Linked DNA regions of Pelodiscus sinensis. The protein of the gene in region 1 interacts with the protein of each later gene in a biochemical or structural test. Links are inferred from orthologs where the notes say so. Each region holds a gene or a part of one and is shown in the gene's direction. Other genes may lie near its edges.

The links.
Region 2: the proteins of STAT2 (region 1) and IFNAR1 form a complex in vitro, tested with the Homo sapiens proteins (2 studies listed by BioGRID). The link is inferred for Pelodiscus sinensis from reciprocal best matches to the Homo sapiens genes STAT2 and IFNAR1.

The regions. Positions count from the first base shown.
Region 1 is NC_134729.1:3,803,438-3,814,502, forward strand, and holds the start of STAT2 (signal transducer and activator of transcription 2), read left to right. Parts: upstream 1-5,825; 5' UTR 5,826-5,953; coding exon 5,954-6,037; intron 6,038-8,312; coding exon 8,313-8,467; intron 8,468-9,688; coding exon 9,689-9,854; intron 9,855-9,968; coding exon 9,969-10,067; intron 10,068-10,320; coding exon 10,321-10,413; intron 10,414-10,748; coding exon 10,749-10,827; intron 10,828-11,065. Other genes in the region: APOF (apolipoprotein F), read left to right, coding at 1,387-2,502. UniProt on the Homo sapiens protein: Signal transducer and activator of transcription that mediates signaling by type I interferons (IFN-alpha and IFN-beta).
Region 2 is NC_134711.1:183,375,330-183,386,807, forward strand, and holds the start of IFNAR1 (interferon alpha/beta receptor 1), read left to right. Parts: upstream 1-6,196; 5' UTR 6,197-6,268; coding exon 6,269-6,338; intron 6,339-11,478. UniProt on the Homo sapiens protein: Together with IFNAR2, forms the heterodimeric receptor for type I interferons (including interferons alpha, beta, epsilon, omega and kappa).

The DNA.
Region 1 (11,065 bases):
CCTGTGGCAGCCCCAGGCTGGGGGTTGGCTCTGCCCTCCCCCGCACTGCCTCCTGCACCAGAGCTGGCCTGAGGAGGGGGGCCTGGGCCAGCTTCACCCACATCTCGCTGCCCTCCCCTCCCTCCCAGTCCCCACCTCCCCTGCTGCCTGCCCCACAAGGGGCTGGCCCCCCAGCCTGAGGCTCCTGCACCCGCCCCGGAGAGAAGGGAGCAGGGACCGGTGGGCTGATCAGCTGCCTGATAAGGGGGCCCCTAGCCTAGTGACCTCCCCCCGGTGGCCTATAAGAGGGGCCGGGCGGGCCAGGCATCCTACCATCCCTCCCCGCACCCAGGAGCTCCTGGTCTCATCTGTCCCCAGGTGAGCAGAAGCCCTAACGCCGCTGCTGCCGCGGTTTGCTCTCGCACGGGGAGGGGGCACGTTTACACTAGGCCTTTGCACGAGCGTCAGGTGCCAAAACCCGATGGGGTGGCTCTCTCACTGGGGGGGGGACTGTTATGGGGGGGACTGCTATTACATCATTCTCCCCCCTCAGCGTGCAATTCCCTGGCAGTGGGGGGGGGGGGGGATGCCCTATTTCCTGGGGGGGATGGAAGCTCTATGCTGTGTGGGTCCCTTGGGCTGAATCGAGGGTGGGAATTTGCTCCCTGCCCTCCCCTGGATGCTGATGTTGGTGAGCAGTCGGGAGGGGGGGGGCTCTTTTCCAACTCAGGCAGCCCAGTGCCCTGGGGGAATGGCCCAATTGGTGCCTACCGGCCTCACTGGTTCCTTGGGGGGGGGTGCACCCTGCCACCCGGTTCAGTGCAGCTGCTTCTAACTGCATAGGAAAGGAGGGGCCTGTTTTGCTCCCAGAACCCATCTGTGTTGAGGGACCACCTCCCCGTGCCCAGCTCCGGGGGGGCCCCCTTTGGGCTCCAGAGGCTTGGGGGTTTGTCGGCGCCCTTGCTCCCAACCTGCAGCCACCTGCTCGCGCCAGGCTGGCGTCCCTGCCAGAACGGTCCCAGCTGCTCCGGTCACACTTCCTGTCTGCGGATCTCAGGGTGTGGTAGAGATGGGGAAACTGAGGCACAGAGCCCGGCAGGCCAAGGGCAGAGCTGGGAGCAAGACAGGGACCTCCGGCATCCCAATGCTGTGTCCTGTCCATTAGGCCACGCTGCCCCCCTACCGCTCTGCAGTGACCCCCGTTCCAGTCCCCCTCCTAGCCCAGCCCTGTGCAGCTGGGGCATGGCTGGCCATGCTGCCGTGCTCCAGAGGACAAAGATTGGTCCCCGCCCCCAGCTGTGGCAATAGCAGCAGATCCTGGGTGGCAGGGAGGGGCTCTGAATTCTTGTGTCTGTGACGTGTCCCCTTCAGCAGGGTCTGCGCTGCCCCCCGAAGGACCTGCCCGCCATGCACCCGTCACTTCTCTGTTTCTGCCTACTCCTGCTGGGCCCTGAGCTCGAGGGGCACTTGCTGCTCCCCACAACTCGCCCGGGAGGCGCCGCTGGGACCCTCAAGCCCCCAGGCCTGGCTGTCTCCCCCTTCCCCAGCGGCCAGCGGGCTGGGGCCAGGGCCTTGCTTGGCTCCCTCCCATTGCAGCTTCCCCAGCCGGGGCTCCCAAGGAGGGGTGTCTCCTGCCCCGACTTGCTGCCCGCAGCCCTGGAGGGTTTCTCCGAGCTCCCACCGCTGCCCTGGAGCCTCGCCAGCGCAGCCTTGGCCCTCTCCCTCCAAGGGGCCGGCTGCCCCCACCAGGCCGAGGCGCTGGTGCTGCAGCTCTACGAGGCGGTGGGGACGGACGATGCCAACGCTCTGCTCCTGGGGGTAGCGAGCCTGCCCGGAGCCCCCAAGCAGGGTGGGAGAGGCCGGGCCGCCTTGCTCTTCAATGTGGATCAGCTGGCAGGCGTGGACCCCCAGCGCTGCTCAGGGCTGGCTCGGCTCGACTCCCTGCTGCTGGGCCCGGTGGCCAGCACCCATGCCACCTTCCCCGCCGCCGCCGCCGCCTGCCGCCAGCTGGGGGCTGCCTGTGCCGGCGTGGCGCCCAATGGCACCGCTTTCTCCGTGATCGACCGGCACGGCGCCTACTCCCTGCCGGGCCGCGGGGCCCCAGCCTGGCTTCACCGCTGCAGCCGGGCCGGGAGGAGCCGGCGCGGGACCGTGGCAGCCTGCGGCAACGCACGGGAGCAGAAGGTCCACAGTGTGCTGCAGTGGGTGCCCGTGGTCAGCACGTACTACAACGTGGGCACCAGCATGTACTACGCCTTCCGGAACTGCACCGAGCTGGCCCAGGACCGGGGCCTCGAGGCCGCCATGGATCTGGGCTACGACGCCCTCTTGGGGCTGACGGGCGGGATGGGGAGCCCCATGGCCGTGGGGGCGGCCTTGGGGCTGAGGCCAGCATTCAAAGTGGGCGTGCGGTCTCTGATCAGCTACTTCCGGCAGGTGGCGCCGGCTGAACCCCTGCCCACGAGCTTCTCTGGCCCCTTCAGGGTAGCCACCTCCTTCCCACTGGGAACGCGGCGAGTGTGAATAAACCTGAGCACCCCCCGTGCTTTGATCCTAGTGCCGGTGTCTGTGATGGGGGCAGCTGGGGGGGGGGGCATGGAGGGGAGCTGCCTTATAGCCAGCCCAGCTTCAGGCCTAGCCAATTGCACCCTCCTACATGCAGCGAGGATGCTGGGTCTCAACCCAGTCCTGCTGGCCTGCTGTCTCAGCCACAGCAGGCATTGGGGCTGGAGTCTGGCCTCAGGGGAGGTGGGAAGGCCCTACCCCCACCATGTGCCTGCGAGCTCAGCATGGGCGCCTGTGCATGAAATTGACAAAGGGCTTATGACCTCTCGCCAGGGTTAGCCTGACCCAGACAGCCAGCTGCCAAGTGTCTATAAAGATCAGCAGGGCTCAAAGGTGCTGGCTGAGCAAATTTCCCCCAGTCACGTGGCCTGCCCGGCCCAGCCTCGTCCTGCCTAACGCAGTTTGTTACCAACCGGGAAAGCGTGGGCTAGTGGTCACAGCAGGGTACGAGGCCACCTGGGTTCTGGTCTTGACTTGGGTGCATTTATCAGTCCCCAGCCTTTTGACAAGTGCGTTGAGAGCCGAAGCTACACGGCAGGGGCCCTGGAGAGAGCGCCAGCTCCCTGCCCCTGTGAGCAAACCCTGGCCCCTGCAGTGTGCCCAGGACCAAGGTGCGGCGCCGCGTCGGGGAGCCCCCGACCCTGCACCCCTGTCTGCAGCCGGATGTGAGACTCAGCCAAGCTGCAGAACAGAAGGTTGATTTGCTTCCCAGAGATACAGGGCAGCGCAGGCTCGACATTGACACAGGAGCCAGGGCAGAGCCTCGTCCTCTCGGGGGAAAGGGGTTCACAGGCCCTGGATTTAGTCTGCTTCCTTCATGCTTCCCTCTGCCAAGCCTGCCCAAACCTCCAGCAACTCAGCCCCCCGGCAGCCGCACCCTTTGCTTTGTTTCAGGTTCCACTACCTAGCCCAGGTGTCAGGGTGCTGGGGGACGGGGACACCCACGCAGAGCGTGTACAGCACACCCCACTACTCACACCAGCGCAGTGCCTGGGCTCTGGGGCCAGCTGGCTAGGGTGGAAACATCTGCCCAGCTGCAATGACGGATTATTGGAGAGACCCATCCCCAGGCGGAGGAACCCAGCTGCTCCCCGGAGCCGCGTCACCCTCCCATGAGCAGCGTGGGCTGGGGCCTGGCCCAGAAGGGGGAGGAAGATTAGAGAACCGTGCAGCACCAGCCTGGGCAGAGAGGAGCCCCTGCAGCTCTGCATAGGGCCATGCGGGGCTGGGCCTGGCATCCCCCTTTGGCTGGGCTGCATCCTCGCATGTCCCTGGGGCGGGGGGGGGGACGACACTGCTGGTACTGCAGGAGCTGATTCATTGCCCAAAGACCATGCCTGCCCCTCCTCTGCAGGGCCAGGGAGAGCCCCGGGCAGGGACTACTAACCCCTGGCAGGGTGATGAGAGAAGGGGGATGTCCCTCAGCAGGGGGGCAGTGGAGGGGCTGGAGGCTCTAGGGGTTAGGGCTGGCACTGGGGGGCTCTGGGGACTGGATGCAGGGGGGCAGCGGAGGGGCCGGCACCGACGGGCTCTGGGGACACGATGCAGGGGGGCAGCGGAGGGGTCGGCACTGGGGGGCTCTGGGGACGCGATGCAGGGGGGCAGCGGAGGGGCCGGCACTGGGGGGCTCTGGGGACGGGATGCAGGGGGGCAGCGGAGGGGCCGGCACTGGGGGGGCTCTGGGGACGGGATGCAGGGGGGCAGCGGAGGGGCCAGCACGGGGGGGCTCTGGGGACGGGATGCAGGGGGGCAGCGGAGGGGCCGGCACGGGGGGGCTCTGGGGACGGGATGCAGGGGGGCAGCGGAGGGGCCGGCACCGGGGGGCTCTGGGGACGGGATGCAGGGGGCAGCGGAGGGGCCGGCACGGGGGGGCTCTGGGGACGCGATGCAGGGGGGCAGCGGAGGGGCCGGCACTGGGGGGCTCTGGGGACGCGATGCAGGGGGGCAGCGGAGGGGCCGGCACTGGGGGGCTCTGGGGACGCGATGCAGGGGGGCAGCGGAGGGGCCGGCACTGGGGGGCTCTGGGGACGCGATGCAGGGGGGCAGCGGAGGGGCCGGCACTGGGGGGCTCTGGGGACGCGATGCAGGGGGGCAGCGGAGGGGCTGGAACCGGGGGGCTCTGGGGACGCGATGCAGGGGGGCAGCGGAGGGGCCGGCACTGGGGGGCTCTGGGGACGCGATGCAGGGGGGCAGTGGAGGGGCCGGCACTGGGGGGCTTGGCTTGGGGTGTTGGATTGGCCCCCCCGCTGGGGCCTGGGCTCCCCAGTGGGGAGAGTGGGCGAAGCCGCCCCACTCTGCGGGCCCCGCCCCTCATTCACTCTCTTAGTATAGCTCCGCCCCCTTTCCGAGGCCCCGCCTCTTTCTCCCCTGTTACATCATTTCTGGGAATTCAGTAGGCTGGCTTCGGCCCCGGGCTCCGGTCTTCCGCTTAGCGCCTCCCCTCCCGCCGCCGCTGATGGAGGGAGGCGTGTCCTGCCCCGCCTCTCAGCCAACCGGCGTCGGGCAGGGGCGGGGTCTCCTCCCGGAGGAGGAAGAGCGGGTCGCTGCGCGGTGGGAGGGTCGCGCGGAGGCCGGCACGGCAGGCTTAGAACACCAGCGAGCCGGGCAGCCTCGGAGCCAGGTGAGGGGGGCGGGGCAGGCAATGGGATGGGGGCTACTAGGGGGCTGGGGGCTCTAGTGGTTAGAGCTGGCACTGGGGGCTCTGGGGCTGGGTGCAGGGGGCAGTGGGGGGGCTGGGGGCTCTAGGGGTTAGAGCTGGCACTGGGGGCTCTGGGGCTGGGTGCAGGGGGCAGTGGGGGGGCTGGGGGCTCTAGGGGTTAGAGCTGGCACTGGGGAATCTGGGGCTGGGTTCTCTAGTGGTTAGAGCTGGGGCTGGGTGCAGGGGGCAGTGGAGGGGCTGGGGGCTGTAGTGGTTAGAGCTGGCACTGGGGGCTCTGGGGCTGGGTGCAGGGGGCAGTGGGGGGGCTGGGGGCTCTAGTGGTTAGAGCTGGGGCTGGGTGCAGGGGGCAGTGGGGGGGCTGGGGGCTCTAGTGGTTAGAGCTGGGGCTGGGTGCAGGGGGCAGTGGGGGGGCTGGGGGCTCTAGTGGTTAGAGCTGGGGCTGGGTGCAGGGGGCAGTGGAGAGGCTGGGGGCTCAAGGGGTAAAGGCGGCACTGGGGGGTTCTGGGGACGGGGCTGGGGGCAGTGGAGGGGTGTCCGGGGGCTGCTGTCGCTGCCAGCTGATGAGTTGTTAAGGAGCAGTGTAAGCCCTTTTTACCTCCTCACAGTGCCCCCTTTATGTGGGGGGTGGGGCTGGTACTGGGGGTTCTGGATGGAGTGGGGCTGGTATTGGCGGTTCGGGGCTGGCTGTCATGGTGCCCTGCCCCCTGGGGCAGGAGTCTCCCGACCAGTGTTAGCCCCACCCCTCCCTCCATGAACCCTGTGGAGCAGGGGGCAGGGCTGTCATGGCGGGGGTGCAGCTCTGGGCAGTGGTTGGCACTTGCAGCCCCTTGGCAGGTAAGGCCCGGCCCAGGGAACGTGCTCTGTGGGGCAGACACCGCCCCTCTCTGCATGTGATGCAAGCTGCAGTTGACTTCCTGGCTTCCCCCTGGGGAGCCCGGTCAGGAGTCTGATCACCCGAGCCCCTGGGTGAGGCCAGAAACCGCCTGGCCTGGCCCTTTCTGCCCTCGGGTGCACCGAATCCCTCCTCAGCCTATCCTGAAGGGGTTAGCCCCAACCCCGCCGGAGCCGAGCCAGGAGGGAGGGCTGGGGACATGCAGAGGCGAGGACGTGGGTTGCACTCAGCCGTGGGTGACAGGCTTTGACGGCAGGGCACCTGGTGCCTCACCTGAGCCCTGGTCTAGCCAAGCCCTGGCACGCGCGCCCCCCCCCCCCATCTCCCTTCCCTCGGGGGTTGACAGGAGAGCAAATTGCTTTTGCAGCTGGGAGCAGGACTCGGGCCTGGGTGGGGGGGCATGTTTGGAAATGGCTTCACGCGCTGATGGTGTCAAGTGGCTGGGTGCCAGGGAGGGTGGCGCTGAAGTTCAAAGGCGGAACTAGGGGGTGTTCAATGTGTGGCGCTCAGCTTTGACTGCGCCCCACAGCCCCTGGGCTCCCCTCAGCTCTGCCAGTGCCCCTCGCTCCCAACGCCCAGCCTTGGGCCCCCCCTCGGCTCCCCCTTTTAGCTGAAGGGCCCCGGCTCCTCCCAAGGATTTGTGCAGTTCCTGCCCTTAAAGACCTTCCCCAGAGCGAGCGGCTCTGCAGAGGCCCCCGGAGCCCAGTGAGACGGGGTGAGGGCTTTGCAGGAACCGGAGGGCTCATTTCCTGGCACCCCCAAAGCAGCCCAGCTTTGCCCCCCAGCTTACGGCCCTCGTGCGGGGGCCCTGCGGCTTGGGGCCTGTGGTTTGTGTCTGCGGTTGAGTCTCCTCTCCTAGTTTCACATCCACAGGCTGCTGCTTTGTCCAGCTTGCAGACGCTCCCATGGAGGGATGCAGGCTTGGGGGGGGGGTCCAGCCGCTAGGCCCCTGTGGCCATAGCGGGCGGAGGCTGGAAACTGTCCTAAATGACCTAGGGAGGCATCTGTGCTCTGACAACTGCTGCTACATCTTTCCTCAGCTTTGATTTCCTGGTGGGTTCCCTTTATGCCGGGCTGGACTGGCAGGGGCTGTGGGGCAGGAGTGAGGGGCAGGGGCTGGGGGGGCAGAGGCTGTGGGGCAGGAGTGAGGGGCACTGGCAGGGCTGTGGGGCAGGAGTGAGGGGCACTGGCAAGGCTGTGGGGGCAGGGGCTGTGGGGCAGGAGTGAGGGGCGCTGGCAGGGGCTGTGGGGGGCAGGAGTGAGGGGCACCGGCAGGGCTGTGGGGCAGGAGTGGGGGGCAAGGGCTGTGGGGCAGGAGTGGGGGCACAGGCTGGGGGGGCAGGAGTGAGGGGCACTGGCAGGGCTGGGGGGAAGGAGTGAGGGGCACCGGCAGGGCTGTGGGGGGCAGGAGTGAGGGGCACTGGCAGGGCTGTGGGGGCAGGGGCTGGGGGGGAAGGAGTGAGGGGCACTGGCAGGGCTGGGGGGGCAGGGGCTGTGGGGGCAGGAGTGAGGGGCACTGGCAGGGCTGGGGGGGCAGGGGCTGTGGGGGCAGGAGTGAGGGGCACTGGCAGGGCTGGGGGGCAGGAGTGAGGGGCACTGGCAGGGCTGGGGGGCAGGAGTGAGGGGCACTGGCAGGGTGGGGGGGGCAGGAGTGAGGGGCACCGGCAGGGTGGGGGGGGCAGGAGTGAGGGGCACCGGCAGGGTGGGGGGGGGCAGGAGTGAGGGGCGGGGGCAGGAGTGAGGGGCACTGGCAGGGCTGTGGGGGCAGGGGCTGGGGGGGAAGGAGTGAGGGGCACTGGCAGGGCTGGGGGGGCAGGAGTGAGGGGCACTGGCAGGGCTGGGGGGCAGGAGTGAGGGGCACTGGCAGGGCTGAGGGAGCCAAGGGCTGGATTCTTACCCAAAAGAAAGCCAGTTGCTAGCATGAGCTATGAATGCTGGGGGGGGGCACAGGCAATGGGGGTCCTCCAGTGCCATTCAGCAGCCCCTCTCCACACAGCCTGGGGCAGCTGCCCCGTGTGGAGTGACCCTGCTCTGTGCTGCTGAGGCCCTGGGGGAGCCGGGTTCGAGGCAGCGGCAGCGGCTGTTTCCCTTCCCAGCGGTGGCTGCAGAGCTGGGACCGACCCATCCCCGAACGCAGGCTCCTTGTGCCCCAGGAGGGGGAGGCTGCTGTCCCAGCCCCTGGCCCCCACTCACCTGCTGCCTGGGTTTGCTCCGCAGAGGGGGGCTGGCACGGCCCCCAGCATGGCTCAGTGGCAGGAGGTGCAGCAGCTGGAGAAGGCCTACCTGGATCAGGTGCACCAGCTGTACTCGGACGACCACCTGCCCATGGAGGTGCGGCAGTACCTGGCGCCCTGGCTCGAAGACCAGAACTGGTAACGGCCAGCGAGGGAAGGGTTAATGGGGGGGGCAGAGTCAGCAGCTGGGACCCACGGCAAGCGCTGGGGACGTCTCAGATTGAACCGGGGGTGGTCTGGTGTGGGGGAGGGGAGTGACACCCCCACAGGCAGCCCTGCGGGAAGGGGGAGCAGGAGAAGAGATGCGACCCTCAGGCACCTCTGCTGGCATGCCCCGGGGGTCCCCGCTGGAGGGGGACGGGCAGGAAAGGGACAGTGCAGCCCCAGGGGTCCCCGCTGGAGGGGGACGGCAGGAAAGGGACGGTGCAGCCCCGGGGGTCCCTGCTGGAGGGGGACGGCAGGAAAGGGACGGTGCAGCCCCAGGGGTCCCCGCTGGAGGGGGACGGCAGGAAAGGGACGGTGCAGCCCCAGGGGTCCCTGCTGGAGGGGGAGGGGCAGGAAAGGGACAGTGCAGCCCCAGGGGTCCCCGCTGGAGGGGGAGGGGCAGGAAAGGGACAGTGCAGCCCCAGGGGTCCCTGCTGGAGGGGGAGGGGCAGGAAAGGGACAGTGCAGCCCCGGGGGTCCCCGCTGGAGGGGGACGGCAGGAAAGGGACGGTGCAGCCCCGGGGGTCCCTGCTGGAGGGGGACGGCAGGAAAGGGACGGTGCAGCCCCAGGGGTCCCCGCTGGAGGGGGACGGCAGGAAAGGGACGGTGCAGCCCCAGGGGTCCCTGCTGGAGGGGGAGGGGCAGGAAAGGGACAGTGCAGCCCCAGGGGTCCCCGCTGGAGGGGGACGGCAGGAAAGGGACAGTGCAGCCCCGGGGGTCCCTGCTGGAGGGGGACGGCAGGAAAGGGACAGTGCAGCCCCGGGGGTCCCTGCTGGAGGGGGAGGGGCAGGAAAGGGACGGTGCAGCCCCGGGGGTCCCTGCTGGAGGGGGACGGCAGGAAAGGGACGGTGCAGCCCCCGGGATCCCCGCTGGAGGGGGAGGGGCAGGAAAGGGACAGTGCAGCCCCGGGGGTCCCTGCTGGAGGGGGACGGCAGGAAAGGGACGGTGCAGCCCCGGGGGTCCCCGCTGGAGGGGGATGGGCAGGAAAGGGACAGTGCAGCCCCGGGGGTCCCTGCTGGAGGGGGAGGGGCAGGAAAGGGACAGTGCAGCCCCGGGGGTCCCCGCTGGAGGAGTGGGGTGCAGCCCGGGCTCTCCCGGCAGCGCGGGGCGGTCTGGGGGCGGGGACCCTGCAGTGCGCCCTTGTCTCTGCCCCAGGAGCCAGGCAGCCGAGCTCCCTGTGTCCGAGTCCCACTCCTCCCAGGCCCACATGCTGTTCCACACCCTTCTGGCCATGCTGGACGACCAGTACAGCCGCTTCGGCACCCGCCAGGAGGACTTCGTGCTCAAACACAACCTGCGCAAGTCCAAGCTCAACCTGCAGGTGGGGGCCGGGCTGCTGGGGGGAGAGGAGGTGGGTGGGGTCCAGGGGGGTGGGGCAGGGTGTCTGTGCCCCCCCCCCCCCCCCCCGATCCCAACGCCTCTGGCTTCCTTCCAGGCCAAGTACCAGGAGCGCCCGGAGGAGCTGGCCAACGTCATCGCCAACCTGCTGCTGGAGGAGAAGGCCATTCTGAGCAGGGGCCATGCAGCCCAGCAGGCAAGGCAGGGCAGGGGCCGATCCCTGGGCTCATAGTGCCCCCCCCAGCAGCACAGTGCCTCCCCCACTCCCTGCCAGACCAGAGCCCCCCAGTCTGCCTCCCTCCCTCCCTGAGTAGTGACCCCCTCAGCCTGGCTTCCCGCCGCGCCCCCTAGTGCTGTATTGGGGAGAGCCCCCTTTCCTGGGTAGCCGGCCCACCCCCCTGGCTCCGGCTGGGGGGCTCAGGGGCCCGTCTCTTGTGCGTCCCCTGCAGGCGACAGCTCCGCCACCGTCCAGCGCCCCCATGGAGACAGACCGGCAGCAGAAGATTTCAGGGCGCCTGGCGGAGACCCGGGCAGCGGTGCAGGTGGGTATGGCCTGGAGCTCGCCCGGTGCCCTCCCCAGACCACCCCACGCTGGCAGGAGAGGGACAGGGGAGCCTGGGCTGCACCCCTCTCCTCCAGCGGGGATACCTGGGGCTGCACTGCCTCCCCTCCTCCCTCTGGGCGCTGGTTCCCCTGCATCCCTTCCCCACTGGGCCTTAGGTGCAAATGCCTCAGTTTCCCGGTGTGTAGGGAGCCTGGGGCCCTGCCCCCAGCCCATCCTGAACATGTGGCCAGATGGCTCCGACCCCGGACCCAGCCCCAGCGTGCACCCCAGGCTCTCCTTCCCCCATAGCCGGTTCCCTTTGCCCCCTGCCAGGAGCTGGATCGCACCGTGCGGCACCTGGAGGAGCTGCAGGACACCTTCGATTTCCGCTATAAGGTTCACCGCATGGCGGGTGAGGAGCCCGGCTGGCTGGCGGAGGGAGGGTGAAGTGGGGGGGGGGGATGGGGCAGCAGAGGGGGCTGAGCAACCCTGGGGGTAGGCGTAGTCGGGGAGGGGGGGGTCTTCTGCTTGCTCCCCCCAACATGCTCCACGTGCAGGCGGGTTTCCCGAGGGAGGGCAGAGCCGCCAGGAGGGCGCGGGGTGTGGGGGGACAAGGAGACCCCTCCCCAGAGCCGCCGCCGCCCTCCCTA
Region 2 (11,478 bases), on another chromosome or scaffold:
TGTGTAGCCCCTTAATTCGAACTAGTGGGAGGCTAGCCCTCCCCAGGTTTCCCTGGTGGCCACTCTGGCCAACACCAGGGAAACTCTATGCCCCCCTCCCGGCCCCGGACCCCTTAAAGGGGCATGGGCTGGCTACGGTGCCCGTGCCAGGTGCAAGCCTGCCAGCACCCACCAGCAGACCCTGCACCTGGCACAGCACAGAGCCACCCACCCGATGTCCCCCAGCCCACCCCCTCTTCCCGGGACCAGGCTGGCGGCTCCTGGGAGCTTGCCCTGGACCGCAAGAGGCAAGCACCTTCCTGGGCTACTGCGGACATCGTGGACCTTGTCCACGATCTCCGCACTAGGCACAGGAAAGTGGCCGGCTAGGGCAGGAGAGCTGCCAGCCTGGCCACCCAGGAGCAGGTGTGCATGAAAATCAAGGGGGTCCACTGAGACCCCCGACCCTGAGCCCTGAGCTTACAATGGCCGTCCTGGGTCAGACCAAAGGTCCATCTAGCCCAGTAGCCTGTCTGCTGACAGCGGCCAACCCTAGGGACCCTGGAGGGGATGGACCGAAGACAGTGACCAAGCCATTTGTCTCGTGCCATCCCTCTCCAGCCTTCCACAAACTTTGGGCAGGGACAGCACTCCTACCCCCTGGCTAAGACCACTCCATGGACTCAACCTCCATGACTTGATCTCACTTCCCTTTAAACTCTGTTCTAGTTGTAGCCTTCACAGCCTCCTGCAGCAAGGAGTTCCGCAGGTTAACTATTTGCTTTGGGAAGAAGAACAACTTTCTCTTACTAGTTTCAAGCCTGCTACCCATTCCTTTCCTTTGGTGTCCTCTAGTCCTTCTTTATGGGAACTCAGGAAGAAATTTTTCTGAATGCACCCTCTCCACCCAACCCCTGCTTTTAGAGACCTCTATCCTGTCCCCCCTCCGTCTCCTCTTTTCTAAGCTGAACAGTCCCAGTCTCTGTAGCCTTTCTTCATCTGGGACCTGTTCCCAACCCCTGATCATGTTAGTTGCCCTCCCTTCTCCCAGCCTTTCTCTTCCCCTCTCCCACCTCCTTTTCCCGGTCTCCCCCAGTTTTGTTCAATAAAGACAGAGTCAATGTTGGAAGAAACGTTATCTTTATTTTGTACATCAATAAGAAGGGGGGCTAGGGAAGGGTAAGTGGAAGGAGGTGAGGGAGGAATGGGGTACGAGCCCCCGATGGGGAGGACTGGGCTGGCTCTGCGGGCTTCTGGGGGTGGAAGCTCTCCTGCAGCCCCCCAATTGCCCCCTCTCCCCAGATGGCAGCCTGCGGCAAGTGCAGCCGGGCTGATGGCCGAGTGGTGTGATGTGCCCAGTGTGGGTACTCCGGGCACTCCAAGCCAGAACTTCTTTGCAAGCGGGGCACCCCTTAGAACTGTGTGTCCGGGGTGGGGGTCGGGACCCTTTAAGCGCAGCCCTCGGCTAGCCTGAGACAGCATCTCCACGCTCTAAGTCCTCCTCTTATGCCCTGCCGGCACTGCTTCCGGCCATCCTTAAGCCCTGTTCAGAGTCCACTCAATGTGGACTTGCTAGTTCGAATTAGCAAAACGCTAATTCGAACTAGTTTTTAGTTCTAGACGCGTTAGTTCGAATTAGCTTAGTTCGAATTAACTAATTCGAACTAAGTTAGTTCGAACTAGCGCTGTAGTGTAGACGTACCCTTCGTGTCATCAACTTGTAAGGCTTTCAGGGCAGATTTCTCTTTTCTGCGTTAATGTAACACCCAGCATAACAAGGCTCCTATCCTGATTGCCAGGGCTTGACAAACGGTGGCAAAAACCGCTTGCCAGTCGCGTACTGCTCATGCGCAAGAGCCACTTTGCACATGCGCGCGCCGCGAATGAACGGGGCACGCAGCTGAAATCTACTCACCACAGGCAAGAAGATTGTATAGTTTGTCGAGCCCTGCTGATTGCTACCATAATAGAAAATGTTACTAGAAAAATAGAAAATGGTGATTGTATATTTATGGTCTGGAATACGCTGGCTTGAGAGCTTCAAAAGAGCCTTGCCAGTTAGAAGTGGTTGCAACTGCTGTTTTTGCGCAAGACTGGATCTAAGAATGAAGTGAATTATAAAGACAAACATCATCATCTAGCCTCAGACCCATCTATATAGGATTGGCTCTTTGACTCCTGCTTGTCCTTCCCAGTAGTTTATTAAACTTCGCAGATAATAAAAGGCTTTTATAGTTTGGGTCATCTTTTCTAGTTTTAGGTCTCCCAACCTTTATTTACCCTCTGCTTCTAATGCCACTATACTACAAACTGGTCAATGCCACTTACATTGGTGTAAATACACCAGTCTGTGTATCATTGCTTGCATTAGCGTGGCAGATACTCAACAGGAGTGCTTGTGTCTTCAGGGCACCATAGGTAGGTATCTCATCTGCCATTTGGTGTGATGCTTTTTAGGAAATTTTCACTGAGTATTGCAGGATGGAACTGACACATGGGGATCTCTGGGAGCTAGGAGTTTAGTTCCCAGCATGCAATCTCTACCATCCCATAATACCATCACTATTTTATTTGGTTTTTTAAATCCCACAAACCCATTCAGCACCTTTCAATGTCTTTCTTTGACAGAAGCATGGAGCACACCAAGCTCTGCACTGTTCTTATGATGTTGCAGATAATTAATAAACACAAATCAGATATCCAAAAAGGCAACTCACAGAAACTGTTGGGGAACATTTTAACTTCCCCAGACACTCATTAATGGGTCTCAAAGTCACCCTATTGTTTCAGACCAATTCCACAAGCCAATTACATAGGAAAGCCTTAGAACAGTGGTTCCCAATCTTTTGGGGCTGCCGGGCACCCGGCGCCCGGGGCCGCGCATGAGCCGCGCGCTTGGGGGGCGGGGCCTCTCATGCGCCACATGCCCAGGCGCAGCACCATGTATGCGCCGTGCACCCGGGCTGCAAGAATGGCTTGGGCCGGCCCTGGTCACTCGCCATGGCGCCTGCGGGCATGGCATTGGGGACCACTGCCTTAGAACATAACTTAATTTACAAGTTTGATTCCTATCACAGAGGTATGAATAAAGACATTGGCTGGATGGCCCACTACATTCCACAACCTAATGACATAAAAAACAAACAATGGGTACTTAAGAACAATTTGCACCTTTTCTATCAGCTTTATGTAGCATGGACACTGTCATTGACTATTCCTTTCCCCTTTTTTTCCTTCTCTCTCCCCCTTCATCCCATATTTATTTAGAAACTGGATCTTTAATAATTCCATTCATCTGAAGAAGTGGGTTGTGCCCACAAAAACTCATGATCCCATCTACATGTTTTGTTAGTCTTTAAGGTGCTGCAAGACTATTTGTTGTTTTTTAAGTTTTTCCAGTTACAGACTAACTCGGCTACCCCGCTGAAGCTTTTGTTGCAGATTCAAAAAGTATAACTGCAGCACTTCCTGTGGGTTTGCAAGCATCCAAGGCCATTAATCATTTCCTGTTGTGCAGGACTCTGACGCTCAGCAGTGTGGAGGATATAGTGAATGGACTTGTGGTGAGGCAATTCACAACATGCTGTGACTTTCCCCAGGGGTACACAGGATTCAAGACCGTCCTTAGGTATATGCAGCAAGCTGTGTATGCCTAGAGACAGTCCTCTGTCCATACCTCCCTCCCCCTCCCTCTCCCTCTCCCCCCGTGGGCTCAGTGCCAGTGTTCAGGCAGCCCTCATCCCCATCTCCTTGCCAGCACCCACTCCCACGGGCTCAGCAACAGCCACAACAGCCCTTCTTCTGGCCAGCTCCCCGTCCCACAGTGGGCTCAGTGCCAGCTCTGACAACTCCCAACACCATCCTCTATCCTCCCCCATGGATTTAGCACTGATTTTGGCAACTCCCACCCCCATCTCCCGGCCACCACCGTGCCCCCCTCCGCAGACTCTGTGCCCAGCCATTGCTCACCAGGTGGCAGTGAGTGGTGCAAGAATGGTCTGAAGGACACCAGGACACCTACACCGAAGGAGCTGGGAGCAGAAGTGCAGCCAAAGGCAGGAGGAAAGTAGTGATTTCCCCTTCAAAGTGCTGCTTCTCTCCAGCCAGCAGCACAACTGCCTTCTGCTCTCCAGCTCTGCACCACTTACCACTCATGCTGCCACTTGTTGCACTGAGGCACAGGTGAGCTTCTCTGTCCTGTGCCAGATTGCTAACTCCCTCAGACTGGATGGACCAGATGCCATTTCAGCAAATAGCATCGAGTCCATCTGATGTAGGAGAGTTGACAACCCTGTCCCGCACACCATCTGCCCCTGCAGTTCCCCATCCCCATGGAGTGGCCGTTCCTACTGCAGAGGTGGTACTTGGCTGTGTACGGCACCAGCACAGAAAGGGACAGCCCTGTCAGGATTATGAGGCATCTCACCACTATCTACCTGCCTGTAGTGTGCGGAATTCCTGTCTGTGCCTGTGTGCATCAAATCCCTAAAAACACCAGCATTGCCTTCCTGGCCTTGCTGTCTCTGTACAGGTAGTGATAGTCACACACCAAACCCTACTTGCTTGTGCAAGAAACCCCTATTGGAAAAAGCACAGGTGCTCTGATAGCCATTCTGCGAATGGCCATCAGAGCTTTCTTGCACAAGGGCGGCCATGGCAGTGTGGACGCTTTCTTGTGCAAAAGCGCATGGCAGTGTGGACACGCTCTTGTGCAAGAACTTTTTGCAGAAGATCTCTTCTGCAAAAAGTTCTTGCGCAAGAAGCCTGCAGCGTAGACATAGCCTTAGTGCCGTGTTCACCAACCAGTCAATCGCGATCGACTGGTCGATCCCGAGGCCTCAACCAGTTGATCACAAGGCGTTCTGGGCCTCCCATTTCCCCCCATCCCCAAGAAGCCCCACTACATACCTCGAACAACAATGGAGGTAGTGGCAGCTTCCCGCGGGGCAGACAGAAGTCCTACAGCTGTGCATCACTTTCGGAGGTTTGGGAAATGTGCTGGCTGCTTCCTTGCCCTAGCTCCCTGGCATTCTGGGAACTTACTGGGTAAGTCCCCAGAGGCGGGTGATGGGACTTTCCTTTCTCTGTGGGAGGGGGGAGTCAGGCCCGGAGGGGGCACGCAGCAGAGGCATTCTGACACATCCAATAGGAGGGAAACATTTCTCAACACAATTCAGCATCCTCATTCTCTGTTAAAAACATTAACATATTTTTTAAAATAAATTAGGTGCATTGCAAATCTCTTCTTAACTAAAACACAATCCAATGCAGTAAAATAGTATCAGTTAAGAGACACATTAAGTTCTTTAGGACAAGGAGCATCTTTTTGCTGGCACTAGCCCCAGAATAATTAGGCTCTTACCAAATTCACAGTCATTTTGGTCCATTGCACAGTCATAGGATTTTAAAAATTGCAAATTTCATGATTTCAGCTATTTAAATCTGAAATGTCATGGTATTTTAATTGTAGGGGTCCTAACCCAAAAAGGAGGTATCACAACCTGGCACGTACAAGCCCCTTATTTCTTCGCTTCTGCTAGCAAGCTATGTACTGCTTGCTGGCTACCCAGCTCTGAAGGAGTGCAGTGCAGCAGTAAGTATAATTCCACCCTTCTCTCCCCCAACTCCCTTTTGGGCCAGGTTCCCCCATTTTGAGAAATGCTATAAAGGCAGGAAAAAGGCCAGATTCAAGGGGAGAGGGGACCAGGTTTCACTGTTCATGATGCATTATTCATAACCATGAATTTAGCAAGACCCAAGGTGCAAGGAAATGGAAGGAGCAGCTTTTCCTCCTTCCCCCCAAAAAACTAATTTATGCGCTTACAGTAACTACTGAGCGGGGCTTGCAATAAAACACCTCGTGCTCGCGATCTCGGCCAATCTATCTACCCCCATGTTACTGGGAGCTGGTCCCAGCGCAGACTGAGGACAGGGCACTGCGCTGAGTTCCGTGCAGTCCCAGAAACGGGCCCCACCACGCCCGTTGTCACGCTGCCCGTGGGCAGGAACCACAAACACAAACTCAGGGGAGAACGCAGCAGCGGTCCCTAGACGAGACGTCACTCCCCACGCCGCCCCCGCTCGCTCTCGCTCTCGCTCCTCGCGGGTTTCTGGGAAGACAAGCGGTTTCTCCGAAGCCGGGAAGCGCATGCGCGCTGCGGCCCCGGGGGCGGGGCGGGTGCCGCGAGGCTGTTTTCCGTTGAAGTCTGTTATCCCGTGAGCCGGGCCCGGCGCTGAGACGCGCAGCCGGTGACAGCAGCGCCCCGGACGCCAGAGCCCCCGCGGGAGGATGGCGCCGCCAGCAGATCTGTGGGCGCCGCCGCTGCTGCTGCTGCTGGTGACAGCTGCCCTCGGCGCAAGTAAGCGCGGCGGCGTGGCCGGGGGGCGGGCAGGGGCCCTTCCGGGGGCGCGGGGCCTGCCCCGGCCGCTCTGTGCCCGCCGTGCGGGGCTGCGGGTCCAGCCCTGGAGTCGCCGCCGCCTGTTGAGCGGGGCCTGTGTGTGCCGCGACCCGGCCCGCCAGCCAGCGCCGCCCCCAGAGCGGCGGGGAAGGGGAGGGGGGACAGGGCCCGGCTGCGCGGTGTCCGCCTGAAGCTGGATCCAGCCGGGGCTCGGCCCAGTTAGCGGTTAGAGGGGGGCGCTTAGACCCCAGTAACCCCCCCCCCCCCCGGCGCTCAGCATTAGAGCGGCCTTCGTGGGATGTGGAAGCTGAATCGGCCCTGCCCACAGTATGGGATTGATCAGCACAGCCACTGCCCACGTTCCGTCGCTTGTGTGCCGCCTGGGCGCCTTGTGTAGGGGCTAGGCGCTGACTCCTCTGGGGCACCCCGGGGAATAACTGGTGGGTGCTGAGCAGTGCCATCCCTAGGGAGTGCGGGGCCTGGGACAGTGTGCCCCTGTCCCCTCTGCCTCCTCTTTGTCCACACTCCATCCCTTCTCCGAAGCCCCTGCCCTCTCTCTCCAGTTTTGGTCCCCAGAGCAATGCCAGGAGTAGGGATGTTCAATCCCTAGTCAAGAACTGTCAGGGTGGAATGGAATGAGACAAGCTGGGGACAGGTCTCTTGCTGCTGCTGGCACTAGGCTTTCCACTAACTCCCTAGGCTGTCTTAGAACCCACACCCCACAAAGCATGGGGCAGTTGCCCCAGTCTGTCCTATGTGCTGAGCACCCACTGGCACCTTCTCCCTCACCCGCCAGCCTTTTGCACCTGCCGCAATCAGCTGTTTCATGGTGTGCATGAGAGGCGGGAGGAAAGGGTAAATAGACAGTGTGCTGGTGGGAGGGGATAGAACAGAGTAGGAAAACGTGGAGCAGGGACAGGACGATGAAGTCTTGGACACAGCTGGGGATTGAGCATCCTCTGGCACATTGAAGAGTCAGTGTCTGTGGATGCAGATCTTCAGTGAGAGTGCTTCTATAGATTGCTATGTCTACACTGACACTGTGTTGGTCCTAATTACATCGACTGTGACTAATGTGCTCAGGGCAGTGCTGTTACTATATTAGCATATATGCGGCCCACAGCCATTTGTGGCCCACGGTGTAGTTTGGGTTTATGTGAGGCTCAACAAGTGACCCATGGGTGGGACCTTTTGAACATGGCTTCCAATGGGAGCATGCTCCACAACGGTGAATTAATATGATGATCTTCTTTTGATATGCATTTTAGCAGTTAAATTTCTGGACTGTCATTGCTCATTAAAAGTGCTGTCATATGCATAGAAATCGGGTAAATATTTCATTTTATTAATATAGGCAGAACTGACTTAAATGGGGTCTGCATGTTGTGTAGTCTTGCATTAATCTTTGTATTCATGCCCATCAATGTGAAGGAAGCTATTTGCATATATATTTGCAAGTATCTGCAACCACACTTAGTTGTGGCCCTCCGCATGCGCTGTGAGTATTATTGTGGCCCCTGGGGTTTCTGGAATTGAGTAGCCCTGGCGTAGAGAGTGTTGTGAGTCAGTTCATTTTTTAAATCCAAGGGAAATCAGAACACAGCAGAGGGAGACTTAACCACTTTCTTATTTTACTGTAAGCTGTAATCAGTTAAAACAAGCCCATTTGTTTTGCAACTTCTACAAAACCACATTACAGATCCAAGCACTGCAATAACTGTAACTACTGAGCAAGTTGTAACACAAGCATCAGGCTATGCAGACTCCTCCACAGAGAGGCACTTAGGTTCCCTTTTAAAAAAAAATAACAACAAAGAAAAACTCTGTAGTCATATGAGTAGATGCAATAATCTTTACAACTATTTTCAGTCTGATCCTCAAACATAAGGTAACTTTAGATGAGAAAATAGTTTCTTGTGATTATCTGAAGTTTCTTTTCCCTGATATGTTAATCTGACTGAAATGATTTCATGTGAAATAACCAAATGGTGTGTGAGTGTGCAAGAGGGGAATGCTTGTCATGGAAATTAAGGATTTATTTGAGGTGAACTCAGGGGAGTATGGCTTGGGAACATTTTATGTGTACAAATGGAGTGAGAAGTGGCAGTTCCTTTGAAGTCAAAAGGATATTGTCATCTTTAAAATGACACGTCTGTCTGTAGGTGGCATAAAACTCCACTTACAAGTTACTCCCAAAGATTACTAAGTAAAAAGTCAGTCAGCATTTTTTTTCTATTTAGCTCTGCATTTGACAGCACTACTGATTCTCTTGGATAGCCAGCTAGCTTGCACTGCTGCGAACAATGACATATATCAGTGGTAGGCAACCTATGGCCCGAGAACCATATGTGGCTCATTGGGGTTCTATGTGAGGCCCCAAGACATGAGCAAAGTTGCTAGATTCTACTGGTTTCAATCTGTCATTTTTTTGTACTGGTATTATAAAAGTGACATGACACATGAAGTGAGGTGTATGCTGATTGCATACAACATGACTGTAAAAGCTGTGCACTCCTGCATTGGGATGTTAACTTTCCATCAACTATTCTATTAGTCAATAAGAACTTGTACAAGAATCGGGGGCTCTTGTACGTTTCAAATCAGAATCACCCGCATGGAGGCTAGGCTTTGTGGTAAAGGCAGCAAAGGGGGCAGGAAGTGACTAGTCAACTAGTGTGTTGGCTATCCAATAAGCGTTTGCTTAGTAGTTGTGGCCCTCGGCATGTGCTGTGAGCATCATTGCGTTTATCGGATAGTCGATTAGTCGCTTACATCCCTACTCCTGCATTCAAACAAAGAACTGCTATGATTTAGTCAGTACACCTTGCAAATTCAAAGTATGCAAGCGAAGTTAGCAAAACTACTCCATCCCAGGATGTTATGCTTATAAGAAGCATATGGAATATTTTTCAGGGTGATAAGGCAACACGCCGCATTTATTGACAATATAACAAAGTAGCATATGCATTTACTCACACATACACTCATCCTGCAGATGAATAGTTACCAGTATGTTGCTCGGCCCAATCTATTGACCAGATAGGAGCCGGGTTCATGTCAGTACGGACTGATGCCCCTCCTCATCTTGATCTTAGCAGGATAGAACCAGAAGAATCAGATACCCAATCCTTTATAGGACTTTCCTTCCATGCAAGTCTATGCATTTTGCCTTATCAGGCCTTAGTCAGTCATTCAGCTTCACAATCAGTCTTCCTAGGACATGTGCTTATTGATAAGAAGTTGTCACAGTCATCTGGTATCAGTAAGCTGACAACCCCTCCTGGGTGTTGTCTTTCTGGCAAAAGTTATGATTGGTTCCCTATCAAGTGGTGCTTGCCTCTAGCTTCAGCGCTCATCAGTCTGCCTGGGTAGTCTGTGTCTTTTGAGTTGTTTACTTAGTTGATAATTATTTGGTGCTTCAGAGTCCTTCAGAGTCCTTCCGAAGCACCTCTGACCATTTGAGCAGGCAGAGGCCTGTACGCTTCTCTCTCCTCAAACATTCTCTCTCTCATTCACGCAAACAATACATTTAAGGCTACGTCTACACTGGCCCCTTTTCCGAAAGGGGCATGCTAATTTTACAGGTCGTAATAGGGAAATCTGTGGGGGATTTAAATATCCCCCGCGGCATTTAAATAAAAATGTCCGCCGCTTTTTTCCGGCTTTTAGAAAAGCCGGAAAAGAGCATCTACACTGGCCCCGATCCTCCGGAAAAAAGCCCTTTTCCGGAGGATCTCTTATTCCTACTTTTTTCCGGAGGATCGGGGCCAGTGTAGATGCTCTTTTCCGGCTTTTCTAAAAGCCGGAAAAAAGCGGCGGACATTTTTATTTAAATGCCGCGGGGGATATTTAAATCCCCCACGGATTTCCCTATTACGACCTGTAAAATTAGCATTCCCCTTTCGGAAAAGGGGCCAGTGTAGACGTAGCCTTACAGAATTGCAGCATGGAACAAAGAGGTACTACTAAATAACTTTGTTAAAAGTTACAAAGTCTTTCAACATTAAACTTCTTTCTATCTACTACAAGGCCTTACTAACACTAACATCACTATATATTACAATATTCCATCCCTTTACTTTAACATGCTAACATCAAACAAAGATGAAGCTAAGATAACAAAGCTGCCTGGCCCTCTGTGACGCCTACATCTTGAATTTAAGTTTAATACAATCCTTTTGCTAAAACATACCTTTTATTATAACTGACTTATTAGTTATAAAATTCCATTCCAGTGCTACAAGGAGACTGTCTTGGTTGCGACAATATGAGATGAAGAGGGGCAAAGTGGCCTGTTCAATAGCTTAGGTTGCCCATCACTGACATATATGCTCAACTTCACACCATAATGGCTTGTCCACAGTGGCAATTTACTGCGCTGTAACTTTCTTGCTCAAGGGTGTGAAAAAACACCCAAAGTCTATTAAGTTACAGCTCTGTAAAGCACCAGTGTAAACAAATGCTCAGAGCTCCTAACTACTCTTCTTGTGAAGGTGGTTTACCTAGTAGGGATGTTAAGCATACAATTCATTGATCATGTAATCAACAACATTTTTGACGACTAATCAATAGGGGATTGCATTGCAAGCACTCAGTCCCAGCTCATACTGGGTCCCGTTAACTACCCCTGTTGCGAGCTGCACTAAATGAATTTTAGGAACCAGTGCCAGGACCCAGCATGACCTTGGACTGAGCCAGCCAGCCTTCTAAAAAAATGTACTTAAAGAGCTGCAGGGGTAGGGAGAGAGAACACTTACAGCTACATGCAAACCAATAAGCACCTGCTTATTGTTTAATCATTTAATAGACTACTTAGCTAGGTGATTAACTGGTAAGCAAAAGCTATAGACTAAACGCATTGACCTCTCTCTCTGGCAAGTAAATTTTTTAGCAGGCTGTCCAGCAGCCCAGCTCAGTCCTGGCTTACACTGGGTCCAGGGCCCTGATGCATTTAAATTGTATTAGGAGCCAGGCAGGCAGCTCAGCTCTGTTCCAGCTCATGCCAGGTCCAGGAGCTCAGACCCTCCCTAGATGGGGGCTGCTGCCACCCGTGGCTGCTGCCTCTGAAACAGAGACAGCAGCACAGAGTGGCAGGGGGCTC